Linked DNA regions of Saccharomyces cerevisiae S288C. The gene in region 1 interacts genetically with each later gene. Each region holds a gene or a part of one and is shown in the gene's direction. Other genes may lie near its edges.

Region 1 (4,273 bases):
AAAACTCTCTTTAATGGTTTTATATCCAGGGATGCTGCATTTGGATTAATGAAAGAAGTGTGGTCAAGAACCTTGTTGCAGAAGGACATGGCCAGCGAAAACATCAATACTAAAGCAGAAAAGTCAGGAAATGGCAAAGAGATTGATGATGCAATAAACTCCATCGATGAGGAAAACAATGATAAAGACGCTAATGATAATGACACTAATGAAAATGACGATGAAAATATCTCTACAAATGAGACTACCCCCAATAGTACGAGTTCCTCGCCGGATAAAGAAAAAGAGAAAGCGTATAAACTGCGTGCCGATTCCTCGTATCAGTATGATGGTCCAATATATCATCATTCAACAAGCTTTCCGGCTGAACCTATGGCCAATAACGAGTTTGTTCTCAAGGAGTTACCATTCGATTGTGCACCTGGTATACTTTTTGAGATCATGTTCAACTCAGAGCAAAACGAATTTCTTCTAGATTTTTTACGGGGTCAAGAAGGTTCACAAATTACCACTATTCCAAATTTCACGAGCATTGACGGATCTTCCATGACTTTGAAGCGTGAGTATTCATACGAGAAAGCATTGCACTTTCCTGCGGGGCCCAAGTCCACGACATGTTATGTTGCTGAGGTAATAAAGAGAAAAGATCCTGATACTTACTATGAGGTTATCAGTAGCATACGCACTCCGAACGTGCCCAGTGGTGGTAGTTTCTCAACTAAGACAAGGTATCTAATCCGTTGGAATGACGAAATAACGTGTCTGTTACGGGTATCCTTTTGGGTGGAATGGACTGGTTCCAGTTGGATCAAAGGTATGGTTGAAAATGGATGCAAGAATGGTCAATTGGAGGCTGCGCAATTAATGGAGCGTATTCTTTCCAAGTTCATCAAGAACAATGTCGAAGAGTGCCAAATTACTATCAGCAAGGAGGAAGAGGAGCAAGATGATAAAGAAGTAAAAAATAAGTTGAAAGAGGTTGACCTTGAACAACCAAGAGAAGCGGTTGTTACGGCTCCCGCAATTGCAGAGCAGCAAGGTCTCAAGGTCACCATGGAAACATGGTTGTTCTTATACTTGATTGTGGTCGTTTTGCTATTGTTTAATCTGTTCTACATACGTTCAATTGCTGTCTCATTACATCAACTGGTGAAGCTGCAATTGGTAGAACTGAAGTTGTGATCTGTATTTTCTTCGTACCAATATATATCGTTTCTATAGGGCAATGGTAGTAACTAATAGTAAAGGGCGAAATAAGCCGATTTCAGTGGCAAATAACAACTTTTTCCTTTGAAAACAAGATAACATTGAAGAAGATAACCAAGAGAAGAAACTTTCAAGATGAAACTGAAAGTTACTGGAGCAGGAATCAACCAAGTCGTTACTTTGAAGCAAGATGCAACACTAAATGATCTTATTGAGCATATCAATGTAGATGTTAAGACGATGAGGTTTGGATATCCGCCTCAAAGGATCAATTTGCAAGGGGAAGACGCTTCTTTGGGACAAACCCAGCTGGACGAGCTGGGTATTAACTCTGGTGAAAAGATTACAATAGAGTCCTCTGATAGTAACGAAAGCTTCAGTTTGCCACCACCACAACCCAAACCAAAGAGGGTGCTGAAGAGCACTGAGATGTCAATTGGTGGCAGTGGAGAAAACGTCCTATCAGTACATCCTGTTCTCGACGACAACTCGTGTCTGTTCCATGCTATTGCCTATGGCATCTTCAAACAAGATAGCGTTCGTGACCTCAGGGAGATGGTCTCTAAGGAGGTCCTCAACAACCCCGTCAAGTTCAATGACGCCATATTGGACAAACCTAACAAAGATTACGCGCAATGGATTTTGAAAATGGAATCTTGGGGTGGAGCCATCGAGATTGGTATCATATCCGATGCACTCGCAGTAGCTATTTATGTAGTCGACATTGACGCTGTTAAAATCGAAAAGTTCAACGAGGACAAGTTCGACAACTACATTTTGATACTGTTCAACGGAATCCACTATGATTCCTTGACCATGAACGAGTTTAAAACTGTTTTCAACAAGAACCAGCCGGAATCAGATGATGTTCTAACAGCAGCTTTGCAACTGGCCTCAAATTTGAAGCAAACTGGCTATTCCTTCAACACTCATAAGGCCCAGATCAAATGCAACACTTGCCAAATGACCTTTGTGGGTGAAAGAGAAGTTGCTAGGCACGCTGAATCCACGGGACACGTTGATTTTGGCCAAAATAGATAATAAAATACGCATTTGGCGTTTATCGGTATACTCGTCATGAGACACGAAAAGTGGATAAAATGCATTCCTTTTGTCGTTGATGAAAAAAAAATTTGAAATATATTAAAATGTGCCGTTTTTTACGTGTTCTTTTCACTTATTTTTCTGTTTATATCGTCTATTCTTCTTGGCAAAGTATAAGATCTTTGACGAAAACTAAATCGACAATTTCCTTAGTACTTCTTTCTCCTTTTTTACCTATCTGCTAATATAACCACCAATAATGAGTATCGCTGAATTCGCTTACAAGGAAAAACCAGAAACTTTGGTTTTATTCGATGTTGATGGTACCTTGACACCAGCCAGATTAACTGTTTCTGAAGAAGTTAGAAAAACTTTGGCCAAGTTGAGAAACAAGTGCTGCATTGGTTTTGTCGGTGGTTCTGACTTAAGCAAGCAATTAGAACAGTTAGGCCCAAACGTTTTAGATGAATTTGACTATTCTTTCTCTGAAAATGGTTTGACCGCCTACAGATTAGGTAAGGAATTAGCTTCTCAATCCTTCATCAACTGGCTCGGTGAGGAAAAATACAATAAATTGGCCGTCTTCATTTTGAGATATCTATCTGAAATTGACTTGCCAAAGAGAAGAGGTACTTTCTTGGAATTTAGAAATGGTATGATCAACGTTTCCCCAATTGGTAGAAATGCTTCTACTGAGGAAAGAAACGAATTCGAAAGATACGATAAGGAACACCAAATCAGAGCCAAGTTCGTTGAAGCTTTGAAAAAGGAATTCCCAGACTACGGTTTGACTTTCTCCATTGGTGGCCAAATCTCTTTCGACGTTTTCCCCGCTGGTTGGGATAAGACCTACTGTTTGCAACACGTTGAAAAAGATGGTTTCAAGGAAATTCATTTCTTTGGTGACAAGACTATGGTCGGTGGTAACGATTACGAAATTTTTGTCGATGAAAGAACCATCGGACATTCAGTACAATCCCCTGATGACACCGTCAAAATTTTGACTGAACTATTCAACTTATAGCTTTATTTCCAGGTTGCTACGTGATTATGCCATTTGTGATCCGTTTGGTGATTCTTTTTTATCCTTCTTATATAAATAAATATACTCTTACTACGTTATTGAATGTGTACTCTTACTGAACTGTGTTATACAAAACGTAAATGCAATTTTCAAGTACCAAGTCTAGCCCTTTTTCCTCGCTTGTCGCCACTATGTTAATAACCTCATATATGCTAATACAAGTGCAAATGTACCTGTACAGACACCTATCAGCCATTGCATGACTTGAGTCTTGACAGAATCAATCTGCATCTTCATATTGGTCACTTCTTGCTCAATTTTGGTGTCGATTTCTTTTATTTGCAGATCGTGATGACTACTTTCTTCCCTAATTCTGCCTTTTTCTAAGGACAGATCAAGTTTGAAACCGGCGTTTGTTTTGGTAATTTCTTCCCTTAGTTTGTTTCTTAGTTTCTCCAGATCGTTTTTCACACTTTCGTACTCGTTTTGAATATTGTGAAATTCACTTCTATCAGCACTCAATAGCTGATCTCTTAACTTTGCAAAATCAACACGTTGTTGATAGCTAAGTTGGGTCAATTTTTCTCTCTTTGCCAGATCCTGTGAAACATGATTAACCCCGCCCCTAATTGCATCTGTCATTATCTCTACTATTGTAGTTGCTTGATCCTCTTGAAATTTACCGTTCTCTATAAGTAAATCTTTAAAGTGGTTCGTATTGGGAATATGCACAGTTTCAAAGTCACTGCCCAGCAAAAAGGACGTTCTATGAAAGCAACGCCTTGCAGGCAATCCAACAATACGCTTGAGCATTTTATTCCGTTCTACCTTACTTTACTTATTACGCTCACTTGAAATGACTAATTACAGATCTGTATTCTTCATTATTTTTTATTTTTCTTATAGTTCCCTTCTTGCTTTTTCGTGTGTCCTCTATAACAATAATGTAAATAATTATATCTCCAATAAAAAAAGAACTTGAAACAGCTGCCTACAGTG
Region 2 (6,363 bases), on another chromosome or scaffold:
ACAGTTTTCAATAGCCATTGTGTGATTTAAATAGTGCATTGTTCTTTGTAACAATCTTGCAGTTAGTTTTACTTCGGTGAACTTAAATTTAAATTACTTGTAACGCATATATAGTACTTTGGTTAAAATTGTGTATTCCACATATTTACATTCTCGATTAAAAGGATTGACTTTCATAGCTTATCTAATAACTAGATCAACATTTCAAGTTGATGCCATGTCTTTTTTCTTCTTCTCTAATCTCAAACATTACCTGAACAGCAATAAATAGGCTTACCATTACCGCAGTCAAAAACTCCGGACTATGTGAATTGTTAAATATGCCCTTCAATAGAAGCTTCGTTCCCTCTGCACCCAAGCAAAATCCATAGACATTAATAATCATCATCATGCAAATATTTATTGCAGCACCGATACCGCAAACAAACCTGTACCAGCTTCTGAATCTATATCTACTAAAACAGTTAGTAATGTAGGTTTCGCCTAATAATAAAAGGACTGTTAACCACCCCCAAAACAACACTCGTAATTGGATGTCATGCCATATTGCTACAAATGAGAATACGGCAAAGCTCGTTAATATTTTGTTATTGGACCCGCCAAATGGAACATAGATGTAACGGATTACCCACTTGTTAAAACTTGTATGCCAGGCTCTCCAGAATCCCACTGTACTATAATTATTATCCACACATCGTAGCATATTTTCAGGTGCATCAATACCATCGACCATGGCCCACAGCCGAAAGAGCCTCCATGGGATCAAAAGTTTTAAATACATAATGTTCAAGTTGAACAGCGCGATCATAGCCTGTTGCAAGGGTGTATCATTGTTCCATGCCTTGGTCCTTGCTATTGCACCCACATAGATATAATGTAGGATAATTTCCATCAAAAGCAAACTCGAAAATACTTTGAGGGCATAGAAGCCTATGTTTTTTTTCGTTAGCGAAGGAAGCTTATTTTCTGATTGATAAAGGTAGTCATTAAAAGTGATAATTGGGCCCACTAAAAACAATGGCGCGTAAGTAATATAAGCGATAAAATTGATAAAGTTGTAATCCTGGATGTGATGTTCTGCTACCAGTCGTTCCTTTTCCTCCAGAACATTCTTACCTGACTCATAAATGGTTTGTAGAGTAGAACCAGATAAACTTTTTCTGAATTCAGGTCGTCTATCATCGTAATCTATCGAAGGTTGGCGGCTCAATTGTTCATGCCATCTTTCCAAAAAATCCATGGAGTAACTTAACAAACGCAATAATGTAAAATTGAAAAAAAAATCCCATCGAGGAACGATACCCTTATACCATTGATCCATGGGACTTAGGATGATAGCAATATTATTAAAGGGGAGATTTTTCATTTTTTGATTGATGAATAGTGTAAAGATACCATAGGACCAAATCGCAAAAGCGGCTATCAAACGCTTTCTCTTTAGCGAATGTGCCAAAGTGAAGAAAATAAAAGCATGCGTAAAGAGCTTAACAGAATTGATCCCGTACATGAAACAGACAAAAACTAATCCACACGCAAAATCGAATTTTGTTTTCGGAATTTTACTAAATTTAACAAAAACCTTTTTTAATATAATTTGTAGTAATATTAAGATGGCCAACAAAAAAAAATTGGATCTAAAAAACCTATACTGAGGATCGCTGTTATCCACTTTGCGGCCCAGAATCCAACCATGGGCTAGCAGTCCGCTGAATTTATAGTAGTTTGGATTAGACTCGGAGCTCGTAGCCAATGCCGCCTTTATCATGAAAGGAACTACTACGGTGAACGCCAAATAATATAGTCTAAATTCCCATGTATTCCATAGCGGAGGAGATGGGCTATTAGAGCTGAGCACAGGGTTACGGGTAACAGTAACGGCACTAGAAGATGAACCATTCTCTTCTTTAGATGAATTGATAAATATCCTTTGTCGCCTTTTGAATTCAATGTCTGGCTTTATTCGTGAATCAAGTGCCTGCACGGAAAAGAAATGTACGATGCAACTCCAGATTCTTAACATCGACATCTGACTTGTAGCGATGACGTCAATTATTTTTGAGCCCTATAATAAGGTAGTTGAGAAGACAAATTTGAAGCACCCAAAAACCCTCAAAACAGTACCTACCTCAAAGCTAGCTTCTCTTTCTTCTTCTATTTGACTTCATTTTTTCCATATTCACCATTGGTACCTTCCATAAACAACTATAACGCAGTACAAATGAAAAAAGAAGAAAAAAAAAAGAAAAAAAAAGAGACCTAAACGCGCCAAGATTACAGGTAAACGAGTAGAACTTTGATCTATGTGCCTGAAAACCCCTCGGGCACAGGGTTCATAACGAAAAAAAAAAAATCGTAAGTAATGGTAACCATAGTAACCGATGCATGGGTTTTAAAAGTCACGTGCTTAAGTCCATTAAGACCGGAAACCTCTACACCAGTTCTCCTTCTGCAAGGGTTTTCTTTTTTTATTTTTTTTGATGGGATGGCTCTCTTTCCCCGTGTTTGTACTTTTGATATATATAGGATATTCATCAAAACAGCGTTTCGAACTCAGCGCTTGCACGATAACATAAGCACCTCGAGACACATTAGGAAAATTTAACATCCTATTTATTTATTGAATTTACAGGCACGGAAGGCCAATTAGTTTAATTCAGACACATATCATGAGAGCAGTCACTAGAAACAAAATAGTCAATAACCTATACTTTTCTACATTTCTCATTGCATTCGCATCAGTGGCCATCGGTTCTGTGCTGCCATGTCCAGCACATTCAGTGGATTCTGATTCACCAGCTGTACAGCAACACAAGCTTCAGCTTGCTCATGAGCAGGAGTTAAAGAGGAAGGATGCTTTAAGTAAAAAGATTTAAACAGGTACGGGCTATCTGGAACTTTTGATAAGTTGTATTCTATCTCTTTTATTTCCTCTTTTTATTTATTTTCGAGTGCCGTAATCTTCGCTACTTCAAGTTTCATAATCAATCGACTTTCTGTATGGGTAAGCATCTGGTGTGATGCAGTTTCATTATGACACCACAAATACAAAAGAGACTATTTAAATATGTATATAGATCACATTCCAAAAAAGAAAACCATTAATAATATCACTCTTTAATATTCCAAATTGAAACGAAAAAGCGCTATTCTTATTCGCTTCCTAACTACCGCCCTAGTTCGTGCTTGCATTTTTTTGTAGAACGATAAATTATGGTATCCCACGTGATTGAGTGTAACCCTGAATTGTTGAAGAGAAAATGAAGCGGAAGAAGCAAAGGACAAAAAACAATTCATTTGATTTTGCCACTTCTAAATGAAGGTCTAATAAAAGCTATCTTGAGCATCTTTATTAGATTCTGCACAGCAACAAGCGATTTTCTTTGGTCAAAATATAATAATTGACTTACGTTTTTCCCGGACTGTCCTTTCATAATATAATAACCATCTGCAAGCCATGTCAGATGAAAACCATAACAGTGATGTTCAAGATATTCCTTCACCTGAACTATCCGTCGATAGTAACTCTAACGAGAATGAATTGATGAATAACTCAAGCGCAGACGATGGAATCGAATTTGACGCCCCAGAGGAAGAAAGAGAAGCCGAAAGGGAGGAGGAAAATGAAGAACAACACGAACTGGAAGATGTGAACGATGAAGAGGAGGAAGATAAGGAGGAAAAAGGAGAGGAAAACGGGGAAGTAATAAACACAGAAGAAGAAGAAGAAGAAGAACATCAACAAAAAGGCGGAAATGATGATGACGATGATGATAATGAAGAGGAAGAAGAGGAAGAAGAGGATGATGACGATGATGATGATGACGACGATGATGATGAAGAAGAAGAAGAAGAAGAAGAAGAAGAAGGCAACGACAACAGTTCGGTAGGCTCAGATAGTGCCGCTGAAGACGGTGAGGATGAGGAAGACAAAAAGGATAAAACCAAAGATAAAGAGGTCGAACTTCGCCGTGAAACATTGGAAAAAGAACAAAAGGACGTAGATGAAGCTATAAAAAAAATAACTCGTGAAGAAAATGATAATACTCACTTTCCAACTAATATGGAAAATGTTAATTACGATCTTTTACAAAAGCAAGTCAAGTACATTATGGACAGTAACATGCTAAATTTGCCTCAGTTTCAACATTTACCTCAAGAAGAAAAGATGTCTGCGATTTTAGCAATGTTAAATTCAAATTCTGACACAGCTCTTTCCGTACCTCCTCATGATAGTACTATCTCAACAACAGCTAGCGCCTCAGCCACAAGCGGCGCAAGAAGCAATGATCAAAGAAAACCTCCATTGTCAGATGCCCAAAGACGTATGAGATTTCCTAGGGCGGATTTATCTAAGCCGATTACCGAAGAAGAACACGACCGTTATGCAGCCTATTTGCACGGTGAAAATAAAATCACCGAGATGCACAATATTCCTCCGAAGTCAAGATTATTCATTGGTAATTTGCCGCTAAAGAACGTTTCTAAGGAGGATTTATTTAGGATTTTCTCTCCATACGGTCATATCATGCAAATCAATATCAAAAATGCCTTTGGATTCATTCAGTTTGACAACCCTCAAAGCGTTAGAGATGCAATTGAATGCGAGTCTCAAGAAATGAACTTTGGCAAAAAGTTGATCCTGGAAGTTTCTAGCTCGAATGCTCGTCCTCAATTTGATCATGGTGATCACGGTACAAACAGTAGTTCTACTTTTATTTCTTCCGCAAAACGACCATTTCAAACTGAATCTGGTGACATGTACAATGACGACAATGGTGCTGGCTACAAGAAATCCAGAAGACACACCGTTTCTTGCAACATTTTCGTTAAAAGAACCGCAGATCGTACGTATGCCATTGAGGTTTTCAACAGGTTTAGGGACGGGACTGGTTTGGAAACTGATATGATTTTCTTGAAACCAAGAATGGAACTGGGAAAGCTTATCAATGATGCCGCATATAATGGGGTGTGGGGCGTTGTTTTAGTTAATAAAACACACAATGTAGATGTTCAAACTTTCTACAAAGGCTCACAAGGTGAAACGAAATTTGATGAATATATTAGCATATCCGCTGATGACGCAGTTGCCATTTTTAATAACATCAAAAACAACAGAAATAATTCTCGTCCTACTGATTACCGTGCTATGAGCCATCAGCAAAACATATATGGCGCTCCTCCTCTTCCTGTTCCAAACGGCCCAGCTGTCGGACCTCCTCCTCAAACAAACTATTACCAGGGTTACAGTATGCCTCCTCCACAACAACAACAGCAACAGCCATATGGTAATTATGGGATGCCACCACCATCCCATGACCAAGGATATGGTTCTCAACCTCCAATTCCAATGAATCAGAGCTACGGTCGCTACCAGACTTCTATTCCACCACCACCTCCACAACAACAAATTCCTCAAGGGTATGGTCGTTATCAGGCTGGTCCGCCTCCTCAACCACCTTCTCAAACTCCAATGGACCAGCAACAACTATTATCTGCCATTCAAAACCTTCCACCTAACGTTGTATCGAATTTGCTTTCAATGGCCCAACAACAGCAACAACAACCTCATGCTCAGCAGCAATTGGTTGGTTTAATACAATCAATGCAAGGCCAGGCTCCTCAACAACAGCAACAACAGTTGGGTGGATATTCCTCTATGAACTCATCCTCTCCCCCTCCTATGAGTACCAATTACAATGGTCAAAATATATCTGCAAAACCCTCTGCCCCACCAATGTCACACCAACCTCCGCCACCTCAACAACAACAACAACAACAACAACAGCAACAGCAACAGCAACAGCAACCTGCTGGCAATAATGTTCAAAGTCTATTAGATAGTTTAGCAAAACTACAAAAATAGACTCCCTTTTTTCAATCTTTTCCATTTCTTGTACATTATACTTGAATTCTTTTAATTGGACGAAAAATTTTTAAGGAAAGTAGATTGATATGGTTTGCATAAATTCGACATAGCGGTTTATGCTTTAATCGTTTTCCCTTCCCAAATTGGACTAGGACTTAATTCTTACTATTGCTGCATCTCTTTCAGAACGAAAAACTCTTTACCCTGTTATAAATTTCTTTTATTTCTTCCTTATCAAATGCTATTTGGTCTATTTATTTCACTTACACGCACCTCTTCATTTGTTTCCTCTGCCAAGAGAATGGCTTTTCATTTCTTTTTCTTCTCTTTAGTTAAATGTTCTTATATCAAAACTTTGTAAAATTGCTTTGTAAACAGATTATTAAGTACCGCTCTATTTACCCCATAACGAAAAGAAGTTCCGCGCTTAGGACACCTTTCCCTAGAGGTTCTTGTTTGATTTGTTTTAGTCATCTGCCTGTCGTTTATTTTAGTTT
Region 3 (5,872 bases), on another chromosome or scaffold:
TGTGAATTCAACATGATTGGAAGCAGATATGAATCTCTGGATATAATCTATTGTTAAATCTATTTTCTCGGTATATGCTGGATAGTTTCTCTTTTGTAAAAATTCCTGTGAATCGGGTAAAATACTCGATTTTGAGATAGTAGCGCTGCCAGAAAGATGGTGAGACATGTTCTGTAAAACCTTTAAAGTTCTTGTATTGAACTTCAGCTTAGAAATTTTACATAGTAACATCGTCGCCAAAGCTGGATTGATTCTCGTGTGCTTTGGCCTAGATGTATGGAAGTTTGGCCTGTGACTTGAAAATCCCGGTTTGTAATTATCGTTTCTAATTTTCTTGAAGTCATTGTTTTGATCCCAGTAATACTCAAAAACATCACTCAGTAATCTCAAAAGAACCAATATAGAATGGGCAATATCATCTGTAATATTGTCAGACGTAATTTCTTCATCTTGCACAATCAAGTCAATTAAACCTAATGTGTTTTCGATAATCGGGTTCAAGTCCTTAGTGATGGCTATATTCAAAATGATGGACCGACACGAATTGAAAACTGAATCTGCCTCCACATCAGCATATGTTTTCAAATTAGATTCTATGGGAAGAACAAGTAGAAGCCTATCAAAAAAAAGATGCTTGGTCAAAGAGTATTCCATTGGGAAATTTTTTTTGTCTTGCGGATCGCTTTGATTCATTTTAGAAAGAGCCTTAATCTTGTTGTATGTTATATGCTGAAGAAGAATGTTAAGTTTGAAGCTCTATTTGCAGGGCAAAAGATGATCACTTGACTTTATACGCTTTCGTTAAATAGCTTAACCACGCGCTGAAAACTACTATGAGCCCAATGCCAATAAAATGATCAAAGGCGTAAATGAAACCGGTACTGTGTAATAAGCGGAAAAAAAAAAAACAGTTAATTGTTTCAATCGTAATACAAAGCGAAAACCTTTAGTATATTAGTTTTATATGAGCAGTAACTCTTGTTATTCTCCTTCGAACACTGTTCATTTGCTCATCTTTTACTTAACGTTTTTACACATCTTTCTATATTGTATCCCTTTATGAAAAACTTCCAGGCGGTGTCGGCTCGCTTAGAGGGTAATACCAAAATTGTTCAACCCAGGGCCGTCGTTAACCTTGATTCTTTTGGAAAAGCTACTCGGCTGCGGTGGAACTACCTGCAATTGATACAAACAATAGTACAACTTATTACTTTGATGGCTATTAAGCATTATGAGCCCGATAGAGCCGAGGAGGTTTTGTAACAGTGTTTTGTCGCAGTATCTTGAGTGCGTCACACAGGCTTGTGGCAGAACAATAAAGATGTAGCCTTGCGGCTTGAGAAATTTGACCATGCGATGGCACATTGCACCGCGATCCCTGTGATTTTTGACAAAATTTAGCACTAGAGAGCATGATATCAGGTCGAATTTGTCGTTTTCATTTCTCGGTAGCGGTCTTTCCATAAAATCCTGCTTAATAACGCCTTCATGTTCCTCTAAATCTATACGAACCACATTTCTAAAAAGTGCACAACGGGATATGCGATTTCCGGAGCTCAATGAACCAATTTCTAATGCCACTGCTCCAGGACAATTTTCAAATGAGGACCTGATCCATTTCTCGAGCAACTTGGACGTGTCTCCTCCTCGTTCCTTCAATTGCCCGTTTTGACTGGCAATTTGGTAAGTTTCTAGTCCTCCCAATTTATTAATCTGATTCATTATGTAACCAAGTAATGTGTACATCACAGCCAAGTCAGAAGTATCCTTTGATTTGGATTCATTTTTAATTAATGAGTGCAGCCTCAGTAGTTGTGATTCCATAGCATCATTGAAGGACTGCGATTTGCCGTCTTCATAGTACTTGCCCAGTCTTACATTACCTTTAATACTTAACCTGATAATTTTGTCATTCTTCTCCTCGTTGGAATCATCTAGGTTTTCCTTAAGGCATAAAAACTTGCATATCGATTGACGCTTATTAATTAAATGGTGGAATCTTCTTATTATCCTTCTTGTCTTCTGTGGCTTGATTACTCTCGTCACGTTACTTCCTACTTGCTTCCTCTTGCCCGTAATACTCTTCGACTTTCTTGAATGCATTCCGCTGTATTAGTGGTATCGCTAAGCTGATACAAGATTGCCATCAAGGTCATGGCTAGCTCATCGATATTATAATTGTTATATTTTTTTTCACCTCACAAACCCGCCTCAAGGTTAGTTAGTCCGTACTTTTCTTTTTCTCTGAAAAACTTTTCCAGCGATGAGCTTATAAGAATTTCCATCTAAAAAAGTTATATTCGCCAACCTGCCCATCATTATCATCATAACCTCAGGTAGAAATTCTTTAGTCAAATACCGGCATAATCAGTTTTTCCATCATGGGTAAGAAAAGGGCTCCTCAAAAAGGAAAAACGGTCACAAAGCCACAGGAGATAATTGTAGATGAATCCAAATTGAACTGGAAACCAGTAGATATTCCGGACACTTTAGATGACTTTGGTGGATTTTATGGCTTGGAAGAAATTGACGGAGTGGACGTTAAAGTCGTGGATGGTAAAGTAACTTTCGTCACCAAAAAAGATTCAAAAGTGTTAAAAGATAGCAATAAGGAAAAAGTCGGAGATGATCAGGAATCTGTGGAAAATGAATCAGGGTCAGATTCGGAGTCCGAGCTCCTTGAATTCAAGAACTTGGACGATATTAAAGAAGGAGAGTTGAGTGCAGCATCTTATTCATCATCCGACGAGGATGAGCAAGGTAATATTGAGAGTTCAAAGTTAACCGATCCCAGTGAGGATGTGGATGAGGATGTGGATGAGGATGTTTTGAAAGAAAACGTCTTTAACAAAGACATTAATATCGATGATATTTCTCCTGTAAATTTACCTGAATGGACGAATCTTGCACCTCTCTCAATGACTATTTTGCAGAGCTTGCAGAATTTAAATTTTCTCAGACCTACAGAAATTCAAAAAAAGTCTATTCCAGTTATTATGCAAGGCGTAGACGTCATGGGGAAAGCCTCTACAGGTTCAGGTAAAACTTTAGCCTATGGTATTCCAATTGTAGAGAAACTGATCAGTAACTTCTCTCAGAAAAACAAGAAACCAATATCGTTAATCTTTACTCCTACAAGAGAACTGGCGCATCAAGTCACAGACCACTTAAAAAAGATCTGTGAGCCTGTTCTAGCGAAATCTCAGTACTCGATATTATCTTTGACAGGTGGACTCTCTATCCAAAAACAACAACGTCTATTAAAGTACGATAATAGTGGCCAAATTGTCATCGCAACACCAGGTAGATTTTTGGAACTGTTGGAAAAAGACAACACTTTAATCAAAAGATTCTCGAAAGTAAATACGCTAATCCTTGATGAGGCTGATAGGCTGTTACAAGACGGTCATTTCGACGAGTTCGAAAAAATCATTAAACATTTATTAGTAGAAAGAAGGAAAAACAGAGAAAACTCCGAGGGCAGTAGCAAAATTTGGCAAACTTTGATCTTTTCTGCAACATTCTCCATCGACTTGTTTGATAAGCTATCTTCTTCCCGTCAAGTTAAGGATAGAAGGTTTAAAAACAACGAAGATGAGCTAAATGCCGTAATACAACACTTAATGAGCAAAATTCACTTCAACTCAAAGCCGGTTATAATAGATACAAATCCTGAGTCAAAAGTGAGCTCTCAAATCAAAGAATCCTTAATTGAATGTCCTCCATTAGAACGTGACCTATACTGCTATTACTTTTTAACCATGTTCCCAGGTACAACTTTGATCTTTTGTAATGCCATTGACTCCGTGAAGAAATTGACCGTATACTTAAATAACCTAGGCATCCCAGCTTTTCAAATTCATTCTTCCATGACACAAAAGAACCGTTTGAAAAGCTTAGAAAGGTTCAAGCAACAAAGCGCTAAACAGAAAACAATAAATCATTCGAATCCGGATTCCGTTCAACTCTCAACAGTATTGATTGCAAGTGATGTTGCTGCTAGAGGTTTAGATATTCCGGGTGTTCAACACGTTATTCATTACCACTTACCAAGATCTACTGATATTTATATTCATAGATCAGGCAGAACTGCAAGAGCAGGTTCTGAAGGTGTCTCTGCCATGATATGCTCACCTCAAGAATCTATGGGCCCATTAAGAAAGTTAAGAAAAACTCTCGCTACAAAAAATAGTGTTTCGACGGATTTGAACTCTAGATCAACTAACAGAAAACCCATCAAGTGGCAAAACACTGTGCCTTTGTTACCAATTGAAACCGATATACTTTCACAACTCAGAGAAAGAAGTAGATTAGCAGGCGAACTGGCTGATCATGAAATTGCTTCTAATTCCCTAAGAAAAGATGACAATTGGTTAAAAAAGGCTGCTGATGAATTAGGTATTGACGTTGATTCCGACGAAGACGATATATCAAAGAGTAATTCGGACACTTTCTTACTAAAAAATAAAAATAAAAAAATGCAGAAGACTATAAATAAGGACAAGGTAAAAGCCATGAGAGCTACGTTGAACGAATTGTTATCAGTGCCTATACGTAAAGATAGAAGACAGAAATATTTGACAGGTGGGCTAGTGAATTTAGCTGATAACTTGGTCAAAAAAAGAGGTCATAATTCTATCATTGGTCATGAAAAGACAAACGCCTTAGAAACTTTGAAGAAAAAGAAAAAGAGAAATAATTAATCTCGAGGCTTTTGAAGAGAAACTCTCCTTTCACTGTATTTTCTACGTAATATACACGGTCCTCTAAACCCACTATGTACTTTCAACAAAGGAATTAGCTCAATATAGAGCAAAAGGTTTACCAAGTATATATTATATTGTACAAAAAATTAAAAGCGAATTTAATTTAAATCTGGCATCTAGTGATTAAATTCTTTTTGATTCGATTTTTTTCTCCCCCTTTTATTTATTTAAATGAAATCATAGTCGGATCCTTCATCTTCGTCATAATATTCATCCTCAGATTCATCAACTAGTTGTTCAAAATTAACTTTGTAACGCAGCATGGCACCAATACCACCAAAACCTGTGACAAATTGGGCACCTTCTGAAGATTTGTCTGTGATGAATTCCAAGGTAGCACCGAAGTTTTTGTAGTTAGCTGCTAGCCATTCAATTAAAGGTTCTTCGGAGACAACGTCCATTTCTTGGCCGGTAGCTTTGTCAATAGCAAACGACTTGTCCTTGGCTTCTGGTTCAGCGAATTTTATAACCTCATTATCCTCGGCATCTTTAAATGTATATCTGATAGTTTCCAAATTTTCGAAAACAATTAATTTTTCGACTGCACCTAAATCCAATGCCTTTAAAGTATCATCTATACCATAACAGAATTTACCAGTGTCCTGGGAAATTTCGTCAAAATATGCCTCCAATAATTTCTTTTCTTGAACATACTTGACATTGGCCAACGCTTCGGCAGAAAGTTCGATAGCCTGGTTGAAACCGTTTTCACCACCATAAGAAACATCCACGATGGAAATAACCTTACATGCTAGTCTTGGATCGAATAATTCAGATTTAGCCAAATCGGTCTTAAAGTCAGCAGAACCAGCTAAAATTAAACCCTTAACATTGACTTTGTCATTAGTAATAAAATTTTGAACAGCAACTTCGGCGACCTTTCTCACATAATTATGTCTTTTTTCTTCTCTTAAACGAGCAAAACGAAGCGCAGATTGACCACCTCTACCATGCTTTTTTGGCAGATCGACAGTAAATTTATGTAAAACAGTTCTCGTATTACCGGACACAGAACCAAACAAAGTACCTTGACCGTCCATGACTATAAAACCGAACTTGTCGTCAGCTTGAAGCAATTCCGAAAGAACTTCTGTATGAAATTTGTT
Region 4 (4,607 bases), on another chromosome or scaffold:
CTACAGAACTATTTGAGTCTCAACCATTAGCTATAGAGCTAGTCGGAAATGGCGGGACCGAAACAACTTTTGATAGTACAGGGAACTCCAGCGTATGTTTCTCTAGGTGACAAGAAATAAAACTGGAGACAGGCGATTGACAGAAGGATCAGAAGCAATAGTCTTACTACTTATAGACAGAGAAAAATGATTATTCCATATGTTACCCTGATATTCTACGAGAAAATGGGCCTTCGTCAATAGCTATTTAATTTAAGCATATGTACGGGCAGTACCAGCTGTTATAGTTTACATAAAATAGACATATTCACGTGTATGCAAGGGCACATAAAAGCAAAGGCTGACATTGAAACATAGCAAGCCAAGAGATAGAAAAGGAGGATACGGGGTGAACAGCCGGTCTATTCTTATATATACTTCAAAGAAGCGATAGTTCTGTCCGTATAAAAACTCGGACAATTCGGACAGCACTCCGCGAGAAAAGGGCTCGTTGGGCAGCTCAACATTATTCAACGCAAGCCTGTTGAGCTCAATTGGTTTTAATTGTAAATACTCAATGGTGTCAACAGCTAAATGATTTACACTCATATATATGGTCCGGATATATGGACGCAGAAGTAAAATAAAAATGAAAAAAAGTAGAAAAGGAAATTAATTTCTTAAAGTTCTTGTCAGCGCATATAATATTGGTATAAAGGTACATATATATTGACAGTATGGTTTCATTGACTACAATAGAGCAAAGCCCAGTCAAATGCGAGACAACCACTGAGAAAGAGAGCAATGATACTAGGGGGACAGATTCGAACGAGAATGCAGAGACAAAAGAAACAAAGAAGGGTTTTCCATTCCATGACTTGGCAAAATTGCAGAAACAGTACAAAAATAAATCCAGTAGGAACGAGTCACTAGTAGCACTAATATATCTCTTGGGTTCGATGCTGTCATTTTGTCTCCTAATATTTTTCACGGACTTTTATTTGATACCTTTGTTCCCCACCACCACTACAATGACAGACTACATTGTATTCAATTTTTATTTATTGAACGTTTTTGTATTTTGTATGGTGCATTTCATTTATCACTTCGTCAAAAATATTTCTCTACAACAACATCTCGAACATTGGCAGAAGTTTTCGTATTTATCGAATATCAACTTATTGATATCATCACAAATCACAATTCTTTATTATCTATTCTATGATTACGTGTTTTTCTTCAAAATTTTTACCCTTTTAATGAACTTCATAGGATTAGTGGCATACTTTTTTATATTGACGGACAAACTCATTTCCTCGAAAAGATTCAATAAAACAGTTTTCTTCATTTCGGTATCAGTAGTGTGTTGTTCCTTGCCACTATTAACCGCAATAATCACCTTTGATGGTTTAGAAAACCTGAAAGAGAGGATAAAAGTGAACGCAATTACGTGGGAACTTGTGGCTTTGGTAGCGGCATCTATAATTTACGTTACCAGGTTCCCTGAATCATTGTTCAGACGAAATAAAAAGGAAGAAGGTTGGAATCATTCCGAGTACCTTTTCCATCTCTTGATTTCTGGTACGGCTTTTTACCATTTTTTCATTTTGATTCAATCTTATATTTTGATGCATTCAAGTTTGAATCAGCCCGAATTAATTAATTTCAAGTCTTAGACTCAGCTGGTGCTCACATAATAAATAATTGAATAAATAAGGCAAATTAAATAAAAAAATAATTCAAGAATGGGAAGTGTATCTCCTTTAAAGATACTTACACGAGTTGAATTAAGCTTCATGTTTTGACTTTAATGTCTTCTGCGGTTCTTGTCCGTATTTCTGTCTTCGTGATGTATTTGTTCTTTTTTACTGACACCGTGACGCGAGGAAAGCTCATCAAAATAATGGCAAAATGCATAATACATTATTACAGAATTGAGCAGAATGACTGGGAAAGGTGGACTTGACAATGCGCCAGGTACTACAAAAAGATAAAAGGGATGTACAGCTTTCCAAAGCTTTATCATATCTGCTTCGACATACAGCGGTGAAAGAAAAGTTGACTATTGACTCAAACGGTTATACACCGCTGAAAGAACTATTGTCTCATAATAGATTGAAAACTCATAAATGTACGGTGGATGATATCCATCGCATTGTTAAGGAAAATGACAAACAACGCTTTCATATAAAAACGTTAGGAGCGGACGAAGAATGGATCTGTGCTACTCAGGGACATTCAATCAAATCGATTCAGCCATCAGATGAGGTTCTCGTACCAATTACTGAAGCGTCGCAGTTACCACAGGAACTAATTCATGGAACAAATCTTCAATCTGTCATAAAGATTATTGAATCCGGAGCAATATCACCAATGAGTAGAAATCATGTCCATTTATCGCCGGGGATGTTGCACGCGAAGGGAGTTATTAGTGGAATGCGTTCTTCAAGTAACGTCTATATTTTCATCGACTGCCATTCTCCATTATTCTTTCAAACTTTGAAAATGTTCAGGTCGCTCAATAATGTTTACTTAAGCAGCAGTATTCCCGTTGAATTGATCCAAAAAGTTGTAGTTAAAGGAAACTTGAAAGATGAGGAGAAGTTAGATACTTTAAGAAGAATTTTACACGAAAGAAACATACCGCTCGAAAAGATATAACTTTCATCAAGCTCAACTTTTATGAATTTTTATTTTTAAATACTTCGCTCTTACTTATATATTTAAATAAAAACTTTTAAGATTAGATGAAATGAATTGTCTCCCTTTTATAGCTTTCTTCCTTCTTTTTTGTTCTTTATCTTTTATTTTTTGTTGGTGTAGCAGTCTAACTTTCTACAATTTCCTGTGTAGGTTCGAATTTGAGTTTATGATGGGCAGCACCTTCGGCCACCTGTTGTTTCCTCTTTTTAGCTAGAGCTTTAGAGGCTTTGATATTGAATCCGTCCTTTAAAATTGTTTGAACTTCCTCTAACTCCAATCCTGATAGTTCTGGATAACAAAAGTAACAAAAAATGGTTGATAAACATGCTACACCGGCAAAGAATGAAAATGTACCCGTTGGTGTAATATTTTGTAACATAGTCAAGAACGTAGACGCAATGACTAAAGAACCTGCCCAATTGGTGGCAGTAGCGTAGGATGTCCCTACACCTCTGACGTTTTGTGGAAATAATTCCGATTGTTGCCATGGAACAGTGCCGATACCGAGGGCATAAAAGGCTGCATACACAATAATAAATACGATAATGACAATGCCCCAAGATGAAAATCCATCAGATGCCACTACTGCATCAGCACCGTTAAACTTAATACCTAGGAAATGGAACGCTATAGCACATATAACCAGCGCCACAGTCATACCAGGTAGTCCAATCAGTAAAATGTACCTACGGCCGATTTTATCAATACAGAAAAATGCTATTAATGTGAACACAAAATTAGTACCTGAGACAATAATAGAAACGGCAGAAGAATTTTTGAATCCAACAGTTTCAAATATTGTACCGGAGAAATACATTAAGGAATTCCAACCTGTGAATTGTTGAATGGCTTGTAGACCACAACCAATAATCAAAGCTCTGAAATTTGAAGGCACAGTGTGCAATTCCTTGACCATATTCCAGAATTTTGTTATTGGATTTTTTCCTGGTATCGATTGATTTAAGCTAGATAATTCTTCAACTTTTTGATCAATTATTTCATCTTCAGTGTTTACGTAACTTCGTTTGAGAACCATTTTTGCTCTCTTTAAATCGCCTTTCATTACGTAGTATCTTGGTGTATCCGGCAAAAAACAGAAAAAAGAAAACTGCAAAACAGTAGGTATCAAGGACAAACCAACTAAGATTCTCCAACCGTTTTTGACGTGGTTCAGGCCCGCACCACAACCGTAAGCAATCAATTGACCACCTGTCAGCCATAGGGAATTTATAACGGTTAACCTACCCCTGATCATCTTAGGAGCAATTTCACTAATAAAAAGAGGAGAAATCAAAGAACCAATACCGACACCGAAACCCATAATCAGTCTACCGGCCGCCATTTGCCAAAACTTGTGCGCGGTAATTTGTAAAATTGCTCCGATCAAAAACATCAGATTGGAGAACATTAAACATGGTCTTCTTCCAAACACATCAGCAGCAGTACCAGCGCCCACACTTGTAATCAAAGCGCCCAATGATGTGGCGGCCGTAATTAATTCTTTTTCTCCATAAGTTAAAACTTTGTTGTCTAAATCTCTATTGATAGAAATTAGCGCACTCGATATGTAACCAGTATCATAACCAAACATGAACCCAGAAATGGACGCAACGAATGTCAATGTAATAATAAAAGGGGATATTGACTGATTGAAAGTTATAATCACTGATGTATCATCTTCATCGTTAACTGGTTTAATGACAATTCGACCGTCATCCTCGTCCTCATCCTGTCTAGATTTTATTTGCATTGTAGAGGTGGATACGGGAGACTTTTTCGGTTTTTGACCATCATTGTCTTCTTCACAGTGCTTCCTATGGTGCAGTTCTTCTCCCTGCGTAGAAGATTGATCAGTTGAGGCGGCCCCCATACCACTGCTATTAGTGTACGAGGGAAAGAAATGGGAGAGACGACTCTTCGTCCAT

Evidence for each region.
Region 2: mutations in SEC53 (region 1) and NAB3 together harm fitness more than expected from each alone (negative genetic interaction), as found in Saccharomyces cerevisiae (2 studies listed by BioGRID).
Region 3: mutations in SEC53 (region 1) and MAK5 together harm fitness more than expected from each alone (negative genetic interaction), as found in Saccharomyces cerevisiae (2 studies listed by BioGRID).
Region 4: mutations in SEC53 (region 1) and TPT1 together harm fitness more than expected from each alone (negative genetic interaction), as found in Saccharomyces cerevisiae (2 studies listed by BioGRID).

The regions. Positions count from the first base shown.
Region 1 is NC_001138.5:42,629-46,901, reverse strand, and holds SEC53 (phosphomannomutase SEC53), read left to right. Parts: upstream 1-2,509; coding exon 2,510-3,274; downstream 3,275-4,273. Other genes in the region: LAM5 (Lam5p), read left to right, coding at 1-1,182; ubiquitin-specific protease OTU1, read left to right, coding at 1,342-2,247; FMP32 (Fmp32p), read right to left, coding at 3,464-4,087. UniProt on the Saccharomyces cerevisiae protein: Involved in the synthesis of the GDP-mannose and dolichol-phosphate-mannose required for a number of critical mannosyl transfer reactions such as folding and glycosylation of secretory proteins in the ER lumen.
Region 2 is NC_001148.4:184,817-191,179, reverse strand, and holds NAB3 (Nab3p), read left to right. Parts: upstream 1-3,454; coding exon 3,455-5,863; downstream 5,864-6,363. Other genes in the region: GUP2 (putative O-acyltransferase), read right to left, coding at 197-2,026; COA2 (Coa2p), read left to right, coding at 2,667-2,873. UniProt on the Saccharomyces cerevisiae protein: May be required for packaging pre-mRNAs into ribonucleoprotein structures amenable to efficient nuclear RNA processing. Binds to poly(A)+ RNA. Appears to act in the maintenance of CLN3 mRNA levels.
Region 3 is NC_001134.8:525,936-531,807, forward strand, and holds MAK5 (ATP-dependent RNA helicase), read left to right. Parts: upstream 1-2,381; coding exon 2,382-4,703; downstream 4,704-5,872. Other genes in the region: GTPase-activating protein IRA1, read right to left, coding at 1-693; BMT2 (25S rRNA (adenine2142-N1)-methyltransferase), read right to left, coding at 1,090-2,103; SUP45 (translation termination factor eRF1), read right to left, coding at 4,934-5,872. UniProt on the Saccharomyces cerevisiae protein: ATP-binding RNA helicase involved in the biogenesis of 60S ribosomal subunits and is required for the normal formation of 25S and 5.8S rRNAs. Required for the maintenance of dsRNA killer plasmid.
Region 4 is NC_001147.6:124,030-128,636, reverse strand, and holds TPT1 (tRNA 2'-phosphotransferase), read left to right. Parts: upstream 1-1,947; coding exon 1,948-2,640; downstream 2,641-4,607. Other genes in the region: IZH4 (Izh4p), read left to right, coding at 717-1,655; myo-inositol transporter ITR2, read right to left, coding at 2,807-4,607. UniProt on the Saccharomyces cerevisiae protein: Catalyzes the last step of tRNA splicing, the transfer of the splice junction 2'-phosphate from ligated tRNA to NAD to produce ADP-ribose 1''-2'' cyclic phosphate.